3 linked regions of the Oryctolagus cuniculus genome follow. The protein of the gene in region 1 purifies or fractionates together with the protein of each later gene. This does not show direct contact. Links are inferred from orthologs where the notes say so. Each region holds a gene or a part of one and is shown in the gene's direction. Other genes may lie near its edges. The genes, in order: JOSD2, AHCYL2 and AHCYL1.

Region 1 (4,156 bases):
CCAGGTGGGGTCACCCTCGGCGCTGGCTGACCCGACCACCGAGCGGCAGCTCCGGGAGGCCTCGCAGCGCTGGAACCACGCTGTGTTTGTGGCTCGAGGGGCCCTGTGGGGCGCTGAGGACATCATGAGGTTGGACGCGGCCGGAGGCCTCCAGGTGAGGGACCCGCTGGGCTCCCCGGGGCCGGAGGGGGCCTGCAGGACCCCAGCCCCTCTGACCTCGGCCCCCGCTCCCAGAGCCTCCGCGTCACTATGGCCACGCACCCGGATGGCTTCCGGCTCGAGGGACCCCTGGCTGCCGCAGCCCACAGCACTGGGCCTCGCACGGTCCTCTACGAAGGCCCCGTCCGTGGACTCTGCCCCTTTGCCCCGCGTAACTCCAACACCATGGCGGCCGCTGCGCTGGCTGCCCCCAGCCTGGGTTTCGACGGCGTGATCGGGGTGCTGGTGGCCGATCTCAGGTGAGCGGAGCTGAGCGGGGAGGGGTCGCGCGGGCTGCAGGCCCCCACACTGACCCCCCCCCGCCTCCTGCAGCCTCGCGGACATGCACGTCGTGGACGTGGAGCTGCGCGGACCCCCGGGGCCCACGGGCCGGCGCTTTGCCGTGCACACCCACAGAGAGAACCCTGCAGAGCCGGGCGCCGTCACGGGCTCGGCCACCGTCGCGGCTTTCTGGCGCAGCCTCCTGGGTGCGGCCGGCCCCTGGAGCGGGGTCCCGAGATCCGGGGGCCGGGGGTCTGGGGGCGGGGTCCGGGGGGCGGGACCGGGGTCTGGGGGCGGGGCCCGGGGATCCAGGGGGCGGGGTCCGGGGGTCCGGGGGCAGGGGCCCGGGGCCAGGGTCTGGGGGGCGGAGGGCCGGGGGACCGGAGGCCGGGGGGCCTGGGTCCGCCTGGCCCGACGTCCATTACTTCCGAGCCCCCCAGCCTTCTCGCTCCGCGACTGCCCCGTGCCCCCGCGGGGGTCCGGCTCAGCTCCTGTCTCCCCCGCAGGCTGCCGCCAGCTGCCCCCCGGGCCCGGAATCCACCTCTGCTGAGAAGCCTCCGCCCACCCGGCCGGCCCCTCGGTGGGCGGACCCTCCCCGCCCCCGCCCTCCCCGGCCGGCCCCTCGGCGGGCGGACCCTCCCCGCCTCCGCCCCACCCCCGGCCAGGCCCCGGCCCCCCTTTCCCGGGATGTCCCTCCAGTCTCAGTAAAGACCCGAGGCTCCTCCCCCACCATCCCGGCCTTCTTTCCCTTCCGTGACGTCACGCCGCGTCCGCACTCCGCGTGTGACGCCACTGCAATGGGCGGGCACAGGCCCGGAAGCTATCGCGAGAACCTACCCGCTGCGTTTCCCAGGAGCTTCCGAGCGGCCGTGGGCGCGGTCGCAGCCAGGGGGCGGGCGCGGGGCGCATTTCCGGGATTTGCACCCCCTCCTCCCCCGACCCACGGAAGTTATAGTCGCGCGCCCTGGAGGGGCGACGGCGGACTTCCGGGTTAAGCGGCCCTGCCCGCTGGGGCCGCCGGGAGTTGTAGTCCACTTTGCTGGTGTCGCTGGGAGCTGTAGTCCGTCCCGCCTGCCCCGTCAGCGCGGAACTGCTCGTGCCGCGCTCGGAGCCCAGCGCCGCCGTCCGAGGGGATGCGGGAGCCCCCGGCTCCGGGGAGCAGAGAGGCCGACGGGGTGAGGGGCGTCGCCAGGCGCAGGGGACCTGGGCACCGCGCTGCTTTTCCTGTTGTCCGGGGAGGGGGCTGGTTGCCAGGGGAAGGCGGGCTCTGGTGTTGCTAGGCGACCGGTAGAGACCCCTCCCCCGTCACCCAGAGGCAGGGGAGGAGACTTCCGGTTTCGCTGGGTAATCAGAGACTTTGTTGTCGGGGGGGGGTCCTCCGTTGCTAGGTAACCAGCGGGGGTCCCGTTGCCCAGGGCCGCGGAGGGCTGCGTCTCCGTCGCCAGCCCCGGATGCCAGGGAGCCTTGTCCCTGGAGAGCCAGGGCGCGGGGGTCCCGTGTCGTCCCCGGCTGCCCAGGCCCTGCCCTCCATGGAGGAAGCCGCCCCCAGGCCCTGGGCCCCTGAGCGGCCTCTGCGCCCCCTCCGCAGGAGGAGCCCAGGACGGCATGTCCCAGGCCCCGGGAGCTCGGCCGCGCCCGCCCTCCGTGTACCACGAGCGGCAGCGCCTGGAGCTGTGCGCCGTGCACGCCCTCAACAACGTCCTGCAGCAGCGGCTCTTCAGCCAGGAGGCTGCCGACGACATCTGTAAGAGGTGACCGCCACCGCCCGGCCCGCCGCCTCCTACCTGGGCCTCCGCCGGTGCAGCCTCCACACAACCCCGGAGCCAGCCTGCTGCCCGTCCCCCTGGCGCCCCGGGCCCTGGGCCTCCCGCACTGTGCTGCCCCCGGGCCTTTGCACGGGCAGTTAGTTCTCTCTGCCGGGCGTGGCTGCCCTCACCGGCCCAGACTTCAGACTTCACGCCTGCATCGCGTCTGCACTGCCTGCTGTCCCTCCCAGCCACCGGCTCAGGCCTGGCCCTGGTCCACCGGCCTCCCCCTGACCCCACCCGTGCACCCCAGAAGTGGCCCTGCCTGTCTCTCCCCACTGCCCGCCTTGCGCCGCTGACCCACAGCCCCCGAGGGATCTGTGCGGGAGGTGGGGGCGGGAGGTGGGCTGTCCCCTCCCACCTGCCCCCCAGGGCCTGCTGGGGACAAAGCTGGATGAGGCTGGGCCCAGAGACATGGGGTGGGGGTGCAGGGTGGCCCTGGGCCTGGAGCATAGGCTGGGAGGTGGAGCCAGCAGGGAGCAGACCACGCAGGGCTGTGGGCGCTGGGCGAGCAGGAGGGACGGGGTCGATGGGGGGGCGGGGCGGGGGCAGGGTCCTCCCAGAGACAAGTGGGGCCAGTGGCGGCCATCCAGGCGGTCCCAGGCACTGAAGGGCCGGGCCTGGGGGTCAGCGGGCATCTCCAGGGAGGCGACGCCTTGGGTGGGCTTGCAGGACAGAGGAGGGGGATGGTGATGGCGAGAGGGGCCGAGGGGCTCTGTGCAGGGCAGGGTCGGGGTTCAGAGGTGCAGGTCTTGGGGGGCATTGAAGACAAGGATGAGTCGAGGACGAGGGGCCCTTCCTGCGGTGTGGGAAGAGAGGGGGTCCCCGCCTCCACCCCGACTCTCGCCCGCCCCCCAGGCTGGCCCCAGACTCCCGGCTGAACCCACACCGCAGCTTCCTGGGCACCGGCAGCTATGACGTCAACGTCATCATGGCCGCCCTGCAGGGCCTGGGCCTGGCCGCCGTGTGGTGGGACAGGAGGAGGTAGGGCCCCGGGCGCCGCGTGGCCACGGGGTGAGCTAGAGGGCCCACTCACGGGCAGTCTGGGCAGGAGCAGGTGGGCTGGCGGCAGTGGGGAGGACACGGGTGGGTGGGTGGGTGAGGGAGGAGCGGGGGGGGCAGGGGGGGTGGAGGGAGGTGCGGATGGGCGGCGGCTGTGCTGGAGACTGGACAGGCCTGGATCTGGTGGGCGGGCGAGGGAGGGGGTGGGGGCGGGCGGCAGGGCCGGCGACCGAGTCCCCTCGTCCCCTCCGCCCGCAGGCCGCTGTCCCAGCTGGCCCTGCCTCAGGTGCTGGGGCTGATCCTGAACCTGCCCTCCCCCGTCTCGCTGGGGCTGCTGTCCCTGCCGCTGCGCCGGCGGCACTGGGTGGCCCTGCGCCAGGTGGACGGCGTCTACTACAACCTGGACTCCAAGCTGCGGGCGCCCGAGGCCCTGGGGGACGAGGACGGCGTCAGGTGAGCGGGGGCAGGGCCCCCACCGCCCACCCCACCCCCACCCCCACGCGGCTGCCTGGGCTCAGCCTCCCCCTTTCTCCCACCCAGGGCCTTCCTGGCCGCGGCGCTGGCCCAGGGCCTGTGCGAGGTGCTGCTGGTGGTGACCAAGGAGGTGGAGGAGAAGGGCTGCTGGCTGCGGACGGACTGACCGCCGCCGCCGCCTGTCCGCCTGCTGCCTGCCCGCCGGGGTCCCTGCCAGGCCTCGCGGGCGCCAAGTGCCGGGGAAGGGCCTGGGGCCTCGTGGGCCGGGAGGAGGCCCCGCCCCTTCCCCACTCCCCCGCCCCCCAAGCCGCTGCTGCCTCAATAAATCTGTGATTTGCTGCTGGTCTGGCCACGCCCCTCTGCTCGCTGGGGGTGCAGCAGGAAGCCCCCAGGCT
Region 2 (3,641 bases), on another chromosome or scaffold:
TAAAAGAAATAGAACAGTCCATATCTTTTTTTTTTAAGAGAGGGAGAGCTTGAGCTCCCATTTGTTGGTTCACTCCCCAAATGCCCACTATAGCCAAGGCTGGGCCCTCCTGAAGCCAGGAACTGGGAACTCAATCCAGGTCACCCACGTGGGTGACATGGACCCAATTACTTAACTCTCACGACTGCACCTCAGGGTCTGCATTAACAGGAAGCTGGAGTCAGGAGCAGGAGATGGGTATTGAACCCAGGCATTCCAGTATGGGATGCCGGTATCTCCAGTGGCATCTTAACTGCTAAGCCAAATGCCTGCCCCCTTATGTTATCTCTAATTCTGTTTTTCCACAAACTTTTTAAAGGAAATGACATAAAATCATAATCAAGTGTAGTGTATTCAGGTAATAAAATATACACAGAAACAGAACTAAGAGTACTAAAAACAAATAGCGTAGTATCCTTATTATTTATCTCTTCCAGTTCCCCCAGCTGTTAGTTTTGCTGAACGACCTAAAATGCAGAGTTCTGCTTCTGTCGCGTTCTTTCTGATAGACCTAGTGCTTCTCTCTCCCTCACTTTTCTGAGGAGCAGGAAAGGATCAAGGCTGAGAGTTAGTAAGCAACAGATGTTGTTTTGGAGCTGCCTTGTAGTGCAGAGGGTTACGCCCCGGCCTGTGAGGCCTGTATCCCATGTGAGCACTGGTTTGAGCCCTGGCTGCTCCACTTACAATCCAGCTCCCTGCCAATGTGCCTGGGATAGAAGCAGAAGATGGCCCAAGTGCTTGGGCCCCTGCCCTCCACAGGAGAGACCCAGATTGAGTTCCAGGCTCTTGGCTTCAGCCAGGGCTTGCAGCCATCTGGGGAGTGAACAAATGGATGGAAGATCCTTCTCTGTCTCTCTCTCTCTCTCTCTGTTATTCTGCCACCTAAGTCTTTTTTATTTTATTATTTTTTTAAGGCATGAAGTATAAAAGTGAAAGCAAACATTCCTAAGAATTGCGGGCCAAGGGTGAGCATTTGGCCTGTCAGTTAAGATGCAGGCTTTCAAGCCAGTGTCCCATACTGGAGTGCCTGGGTTCAGTACGGTCTCTGTCTCCTGACTCCATCTTCCCACCAATGCCCACCTTGAGAGACTACAGTGATGGCTCAAGGAATAGGGTTCCTGCCACCCTCATGGGAGACCTGGATGGAGTTCCCAGCTCCTGGCTTTGGCCCAGAGCAGTCTCTGCCATTGTGGGCATCTGGGGAAGTCAACCAAATGGGAGCTTGCTTACTCTGTCTTCCTGCCTCTCAAATGAAAAGAAGGGAGGGGAGAAGGGAGGGAGAAAGGGAAGAATTGAAGGCCAGTGAGCAAATGTTGAGCATATTTCATTCAGCTTCAGGAATTTAAAGGTATCCACCAATGTTTTAAGGCCTAGCTTGGGGAGACTAGCCAAATAGTAGGCGTGGAAGCTCATGCAGGGCTCTGTGATCTGTTCCAGATGAGTATGTGGCAAGCCTGCACCTGCCCACTTTTGATGCCCACCTGACGGAGCTGACAGATGAACAGGCCAAGTATCTTGGACTCAACAAGAATGGGCCCTTCAAGCCTAATTACTACAGGTGACTGGGCCCCCCAGAAACCAGGAGAGCCTAGACAGTGAAGAGCTCCCACTCAGGAGTGGATCTTTTTCTCCCCTCCATGTACATTTACATCAACTCAGACAAGTAAACCCAATCCTCCTCATTGCTCCCCGCCCCCACCCTCCCAGCCCCCATGAAGGACTCTTTGGAGCCTCCTGCAAACAATAGCGTTCTCCTCCCAAAGAAATACTGGCCTTTTTCACTGATGGGAAAGAGCCACACTTGTCTCCCCTCAGCATGCTCTCCAGAAAAGTCCCTGCCTCCCCATTAGACCTTTAGGCTCTTCACGGCCCAGCAGCCCCGCTAGCGGATAGTGTCACAGTCTCATCTTTCTTTTTCCTTCCAGGTATTAAGTTCCTGTAACTCAAGCCAGAAGAAGTTTTAAGGAATCGAAGAACTCCAAGCCTTTTCTCCACTACTACACAAGAAAGAATCCAGCAAGCTGCTTCTCCGATCAGAGCTTCCCGCCGTGCTCACCTTATGTGTTAGGTTATTTATTTATTAAAATCTAGAATCCTGTGCCTGTAGCCTTGGCCCAGAGTGTGGTTACTGCCCCCAGGGCCATGAAAGCTGCACAAGACAGGCTGAGGAAGGAAAGAAATGGGGTGAGGTTCCTAGTGCATCATTCCCATCCCCCCACCCCCATTGACTCAGAATCCTCAGCAATGGCCATTTTTCCTCGTGTCCAGGCTCAGGAGTTAGTCCAGGGATTCCAGACTCCTTGTTCCCTGGGGTTTTCTGGAATGCATTTTCAGCAGCTGCCTTTCTCAGCTTTGACCCTTCCCCAGGTGAAACCTTTTGGAAGCCACTAAATGAACACAGCCTGGGTTCCTAGCCTTGACCGTCGCTGTCACTGCCTTCTTTATAGCAAGGCTAGTAAGGAGGGAGTGTATGACTTTGACAAGCTCTACCAAGAACTCACCTCTGCCCGTGCCTGCTTGGGGTCTGCTTCCTTATCTCAGATTCCTTTCCTCTCCTTGAACACTGACTTTCATTTTAATGCTTTCTTGTTCTAAGAGCGATGTGCCTCCAGTATTTACTCAACAGCTCTGGTGTCCAGCAGACATTTCTAACCCCACCAACCTCTGCTCAGGAAGTGGGGCCAGCGCCACTGGGAACCATAGGTTACTTCCTTGTCAATTCACTGCGGTTTCCCAGGAAGCTCCCTTCTCTGCAGCTCAACTGGCTGAGGGACACAGAGATGACACTAACCTGTTTCCAGATGATCAAAGCTAATTGGAGCCTCATCAGACAGTCATCTCTTTGACCATTGCCATTGATAAAGCAGAGATCTGTAGTTTGAGCCTGCATCTGCAGTCTTTCTTCTCTGCCGTATCTTTTATAATCTGAACTATTCCATATAAAGATTATGAATTTCAGAGGTAGTTTCCTGAGTAACTCTAGCATTTAAAAAAAAAATCAGGAGAGCAGCATGAAATGTTATGTTCCACTCCAAGAGTTAGATTCCTTTTGGAGGTGGACCTGCTGGTCCACAAAGGCTCCACTGGAGTGGCCCTTAGAATCTTGAATTAAATAAGTCCCTCTCCCCTCCACCATCTCCATTTAACACTCTCATGTTTGCTGGTTCTCCCCCTCGCCTTGCTTTTTTTCCCCTAAGCTGATCTGCCTCAACGTCTCAAGACCAAGGAGACTGAAGGAAACCCCAGCTCACCCAGGATCACCATTGCCTCCCCTTCCAGACTCCCTCCCATACCTCCACCCTCTCCGCCGTCCCCTAGTCTTCACACAGACTCTCAGAGCTCGTCTGGAAGTGACCTTACTTCTGGAGGTAGGGAGGTGGTACTTGGTTAAACGGCTGTTTGCCTTGGTGTGTATCTCACAGGCTCAACCCTGAGAGCCTGGCTCTTCAGTGGCCGCGTGCCTCAGAAGTATGGGAGACAGGCCACACACCTGGCTATATCCTTTCTTTATGAGGAAGATCATAAATGCTGAAAATTCTGCCAGGCTGCTCTGCCAGTTCTTCCTTTTGCCTACCCAGTCCTGATGTGTGTGTTAATTGGAT
Region 3 (3,641 bases), on another chromosome or scaffold:
GTGTTAGGGAACACGCCCAGAACCTTCTGGAAAAAGATGAGCAGGGAAGGGAATCCTAACAGCCGTGAGAGGAGAGCAGTTGCTGAACAGACTGCCCTGGCCAGCAGCTGGGAAGCCTGTGGAGGAAGGGCCATTTCTGGACAGTGTGAAAGGGCAGGGATGGTGTCCTGCCCATGCGTTTCTTCTGTCTCCAAAATAGCTGTGGGTTGTGTTGAGAGTCATTGCCTTGGTCCTGGTTGAATCTCTTCAGTAAGACACTCTGCTGACTGCAGAAGGCATGCCAGCGTGCAGTGGGAAATCCTGGCCTGTGACCACTTCAGGGACTTGGGTTTTTTGAAAGACAGTTGCACTTTTGATGTTTAAGCTACTGAAAATTAAAAGTTTCAGTGCCAAACTTAAAAAGCTACTTTGGTTGTACAAAGATCCTTATTGATCGAGTTCTGATGTAGCTGTGTGTGGCTTAGCTTGTATGTTTATTATCTGTTTGAAGCTTGATCTGGTCTTACAGAAAGGGTTTCAAAAGGTTCACATATTCTACAGGTGTGTATTGAATGCCTTCTTACGTGTATGAGCCTGGGCTGGATGTCAGGGTTTTGTATGTCCTTTCCTTAAACATGTTGTGGACTCTGCGCCCTCCTTCATTCACAGAGTTGCCTAAAGTAAAACACTTGCCCCATCCGACGTTGAATCGAGAGGCATTTTTAATGGAAGCACACCCAGGTTTGTCCTCCCAGGCCTGCTGCTCAGTGGTGGTATCCGTGTGGCTGTTACCCAGTGACTGTCCTCTGCCTGGGTTCTTGGGGTATACCATACCAGACAGAAAGGTGAAAGCGCAAGTCTGTGTTCTCTTTTTTTTTTTTTTTTTTTTTTTTGACAGGCAGAGTGGACAGTGAGAGAGAGAGACAGAAAGGTCTTCCTTTGCCGTTGGTTCACCCTCCAATGGCCGCCGCGGCCGGCGCGCTGCGGCCGGCACACCGCGCTGATCCGATGGCAGGAGCCAGGAGCCAGGTGCTTTTCCTGGTCTCCCATGGGGTGCAGGGCCCAAGCACCTGGGCCATCCTCCACTGCACTCCCTGGCCACAGCAGAGAGCTGGCCTGGAAGAGGGGCAACCGGGACAGAATCCGGCGCCCCGACCGGGACTAGAACCCGGTGTGCCGGCGCCGCTAGGCGGAGGATTAGCCTAGTGAGCCGCGGCGCCGGCGCCTGTGTCCTCTTGATTACTGCTTCCTTACCTGTGCACCAAGGTTTCAGTTTGTTCTCAGCTGCCTGTGCCTAGGCTGTGCTCGTGGGCCTGACTCTTCCACTGCAGGCTGATGGGTCCCTATCTGGAGGGTACACTGACAGAAGGAGGGTTTTGCGGCTAACGAAAGGGTTGTTTACTGTTCCTTCCTTGGAAGTGCTGTGAACGTGCTGCTGGCACTGCGCAGAGATTTTAATCTGTAATCGTTTATATTTCCTGAGACAGTTGCTAGACCTGGCTTAATGGAGTCTCCATGGCAACCTTTAGATTTAGTCGGATATTGAGGAGAATCTCAGTTTAGATTCTCAAACCATCCTATTCATTTTGGTGAAATTTATTTCAAAGTTTATTTTGTATTTATCAGAACTTAAACAGGCATTCAGAAGGAAGATTTAAAACATGTAATGGAAGTATTTTCATATACTTTATTAACACCTATTAATTTATCTTCAAATAATATTAATTGCAAGCTATTTGCTGTTTATTAAAGCCAAACTTCCAAGTATCCCTCCAACAATTATCTAGTTCTGGTTTATTTCATTTAAGAAATTTTTTTGTACAGTTTATCATGCCATTATTTCTCTCCTTCCCTCAAATAAGGCCTAATTAGCTAGAATATGGTATGTATGTCTTTTAATTTCTTATTCATCAGCACATTCTGGTATTTTAATTTTTTACTGGGTACAGAAGGTTCTGGAGATACTAAATTGTTTGTCTGAAGTATGGACATATGGTTGGACTCTGAGTATTGGCATCCTGACGCCTATCACTATTTCTAGACATCTCTTCATAATCCTTTCAAAAAGCAAGACCATTGCCAACTTTAGCTACAAGAGAATATTCTTGGGGGGCAGGGGGGGCAGAGCTACCATAAAATTATATCTAGTCTTTGGTAAAGTTAGGAGAAGCATAAATGGATCAAAATTAGAGAAAAAAAATTAATGGAAAGTAAGAGTTATTTTTCAAATTAGACAAATGCTAAAAGAAATTTGATCTTAAGTCAACCCTCTCCACTGAAATCCTGCTGAAACAATTGAGATGGGAAAAGTAGTTGGTCTACAGGGTCAGAGAGCTGCCTCCCCCCATCCTTGGTAGGCAAGTTGCTGGTTTAGTAGTAGTTGTGTGATGTGTTGGCTTTTAGGGAAGATATTGTAAGGCCTTTAAAAGTACATAGACTCCCCTTGTTGTATGTTTTCAACTTTTTGTCTTTCTCCTGTAGCAAATCCAGTTTGCTGATGACATGCAGGAGTTCACCAAATTCCCTACCAAGACTGGCCGGAGATCTTTGTCTCGCTCCATCTCCCAGTCCTCTACTGACAGCTACAGCTCAGGTAGGCGTGAGTTCCCATCCTCCGATCTCTCCTACCTGTTCACTACCCAGTGCTCTTATCCAGGATCTAAAAGCACCCCACGTCAGGACTGCCCAGGTGCTGAAAGCTATTGGTGTGCTCGGACAGCTTCCCTGACTGTCTCAGTGTGTAGTCTGTGAACAGTGCCCAGTTGGTTACACTGGGCCAGTTCCCATTCCCATATGTATGCCATCCATGTTCCAGAGTGGCTGACAGAACTGGCCTTGAAAAGGAAGTATAGGAGCCAGTGCTGTGGCACAGCAGGTTAAGATGCTGTCTGCATCTCATATGGGTGCCAGTTCGCGTCCTGGCTGCTCCACCTTCTTTCCATCCAGCTCCCTGCTAATGTACCGGGGAAAGCAGTGGACAATGGCCCAAGTGCTTGGACTCCTGCGCCCATGTGGGAGACCCACATGAAGCTCTTGGCATCTGGCTTCGACCTGGCCCAGCCCTGGTCAATGTAGTCAAGAGGAGTGAACCAGTGAATGGAAGATCTCTCTTTCTCTGCCTTTCCCTGTCTCTCTGTGGAACTCTGCCTTTCAAAGTAAATCTTTAAAAAAAAAATAAGAAGAAGAAAAGGAAGTATACTAGGAAGCTTGATTTCTTGGTAAAAGTACACCCTACCATCTGTCTTTCTCTTTCTTGTCCACAAAATTGCTTGAATTGTAACAATAAATACTGGTACTTTGCCTTCTTTTATTTGCTTAGTTACTTGTTATGTTGAAGTATCCCCTTCTGTTAATCCGTGATGTGGGAAAGATACAAACCACCATAAGTAATGAGACCTCAGCCCCGCTTCTTCTTTTTAGTTCCCCTCCCGTCTTGCCTGTCTGTAAGTAAAGTTACGTCTGGTTTGAGCTGTGCCTTTGGCAACCATAGAGGGCATGTTAGAAAATGAATGTGGAAGAGGATACAGAACTTTGGGAACATGAAGGGGGTCCAACCCGCTCATTGTCCAACTGACGGTCATTGTTAACAGATTTAAAGGCTTGCCCAGGGTCCCAGATTGCTATTCACCTCAGCAAAGAGATTTAAGGACTGAGCTTGAGGT

The links.
Region 2: the proteins of JOSD2 (region 1) and AHCYL2 purify together in Homo sapiens (affinity purification with mass spectrometry; 3 studies listed by BioGRID and IntAct, counting the BioPlex papers as one, with this or other methods). This does not show direct contact. The link is inferred for Oryctolagus cuniculus from reciprocal best matches to the Homo sapiens genes JOSD2 and AHCYL2.
Region 3: the proteins of JOSD2 (region 1) and AHCYL1 purify together in Homo sapiens (affinity purification with mass spectrometry; 4 studies listed by BioGRID and IntAct, counting the BioPlex papers as one, with this or other methods). This does not show direct contact. The link is inferred for Oryctolagus cuniculus from reciprocal best matches to the Homo sapiens genes JOSD2 and AHCYL1.

What each region holds. Positions count from the first base shown.
Region 1 is NC_091449.1:7,410,330-7,414,485, forward strand, and holds JOSD2 (josephin-2), read left to right. Parts: upstream 1-1,285; 5' UTR 1,286-1,655; intron 1,656-1,868; 5' UTR 1,869-2,085; coding exon 2,086-2,231; intron 2,232-3,143; coding exon 3,144-3,269; intron 3,270-3,545; coding exon 3,546-3,740; intron 3,741-3,827; coding exon 3,828-3,927; 3' UTR 3,928-4,103; downstream 4,104-4,156. Other genes in the region: ASPDH (aspartate dehydrogenase domain-containing protein), read left to right, coding at 5-154, 235-458, 532-686, 987-1,030. UniProt on the Homo sapiens protein: Cleaves 'Lys-63'-linked poly-ubiquitin chains, and with lesser efficiency 'Lys-48'-linked poly-ubiquitin chains (in vitro). May act as a deubiquitinating enzyme.
Region 2 is NC_091434.1:165,629,223-165,632,863, forward strand, and holds part of AHCYL2 (adenosylhomocysteinase 3), read left to right. Parts: intron 1-1,476; coding exon 1,477-1,597; coding exon of another isoform or gene 1,598-1,601; intron 1,602-1,964; coding exon 1,965-1,971; 3' UTR 1,972-3,641. UniProt on the Homo sapiens protein: May regulate the electrogenic sodium/bicarbonate cotransporter SLC4A4 activity and Mg(2+)-sensitivity. On the contrary of its homolog AHCYL1, does not regulate ITPR1 sensitivity to inositol 1,4,5-trisphosphate.
Region 3 is NC_091438.1:60,314,436-60,318,076, reverse strand, and holds part of AHCYL1 (S-adenosylhomocysteine hydrolase-like protein 1), read left to right. Parts: intron 1-2,460; coding exon 2,461-2,572; intron 2,573-3,641. UniProt on the Homo sapiens protein: Multifaceted cellular regulator which coordinates several essential cellular functions including regulation of epithelial HCO3(-) and fluid secretion, mRNA processing and DNA replication.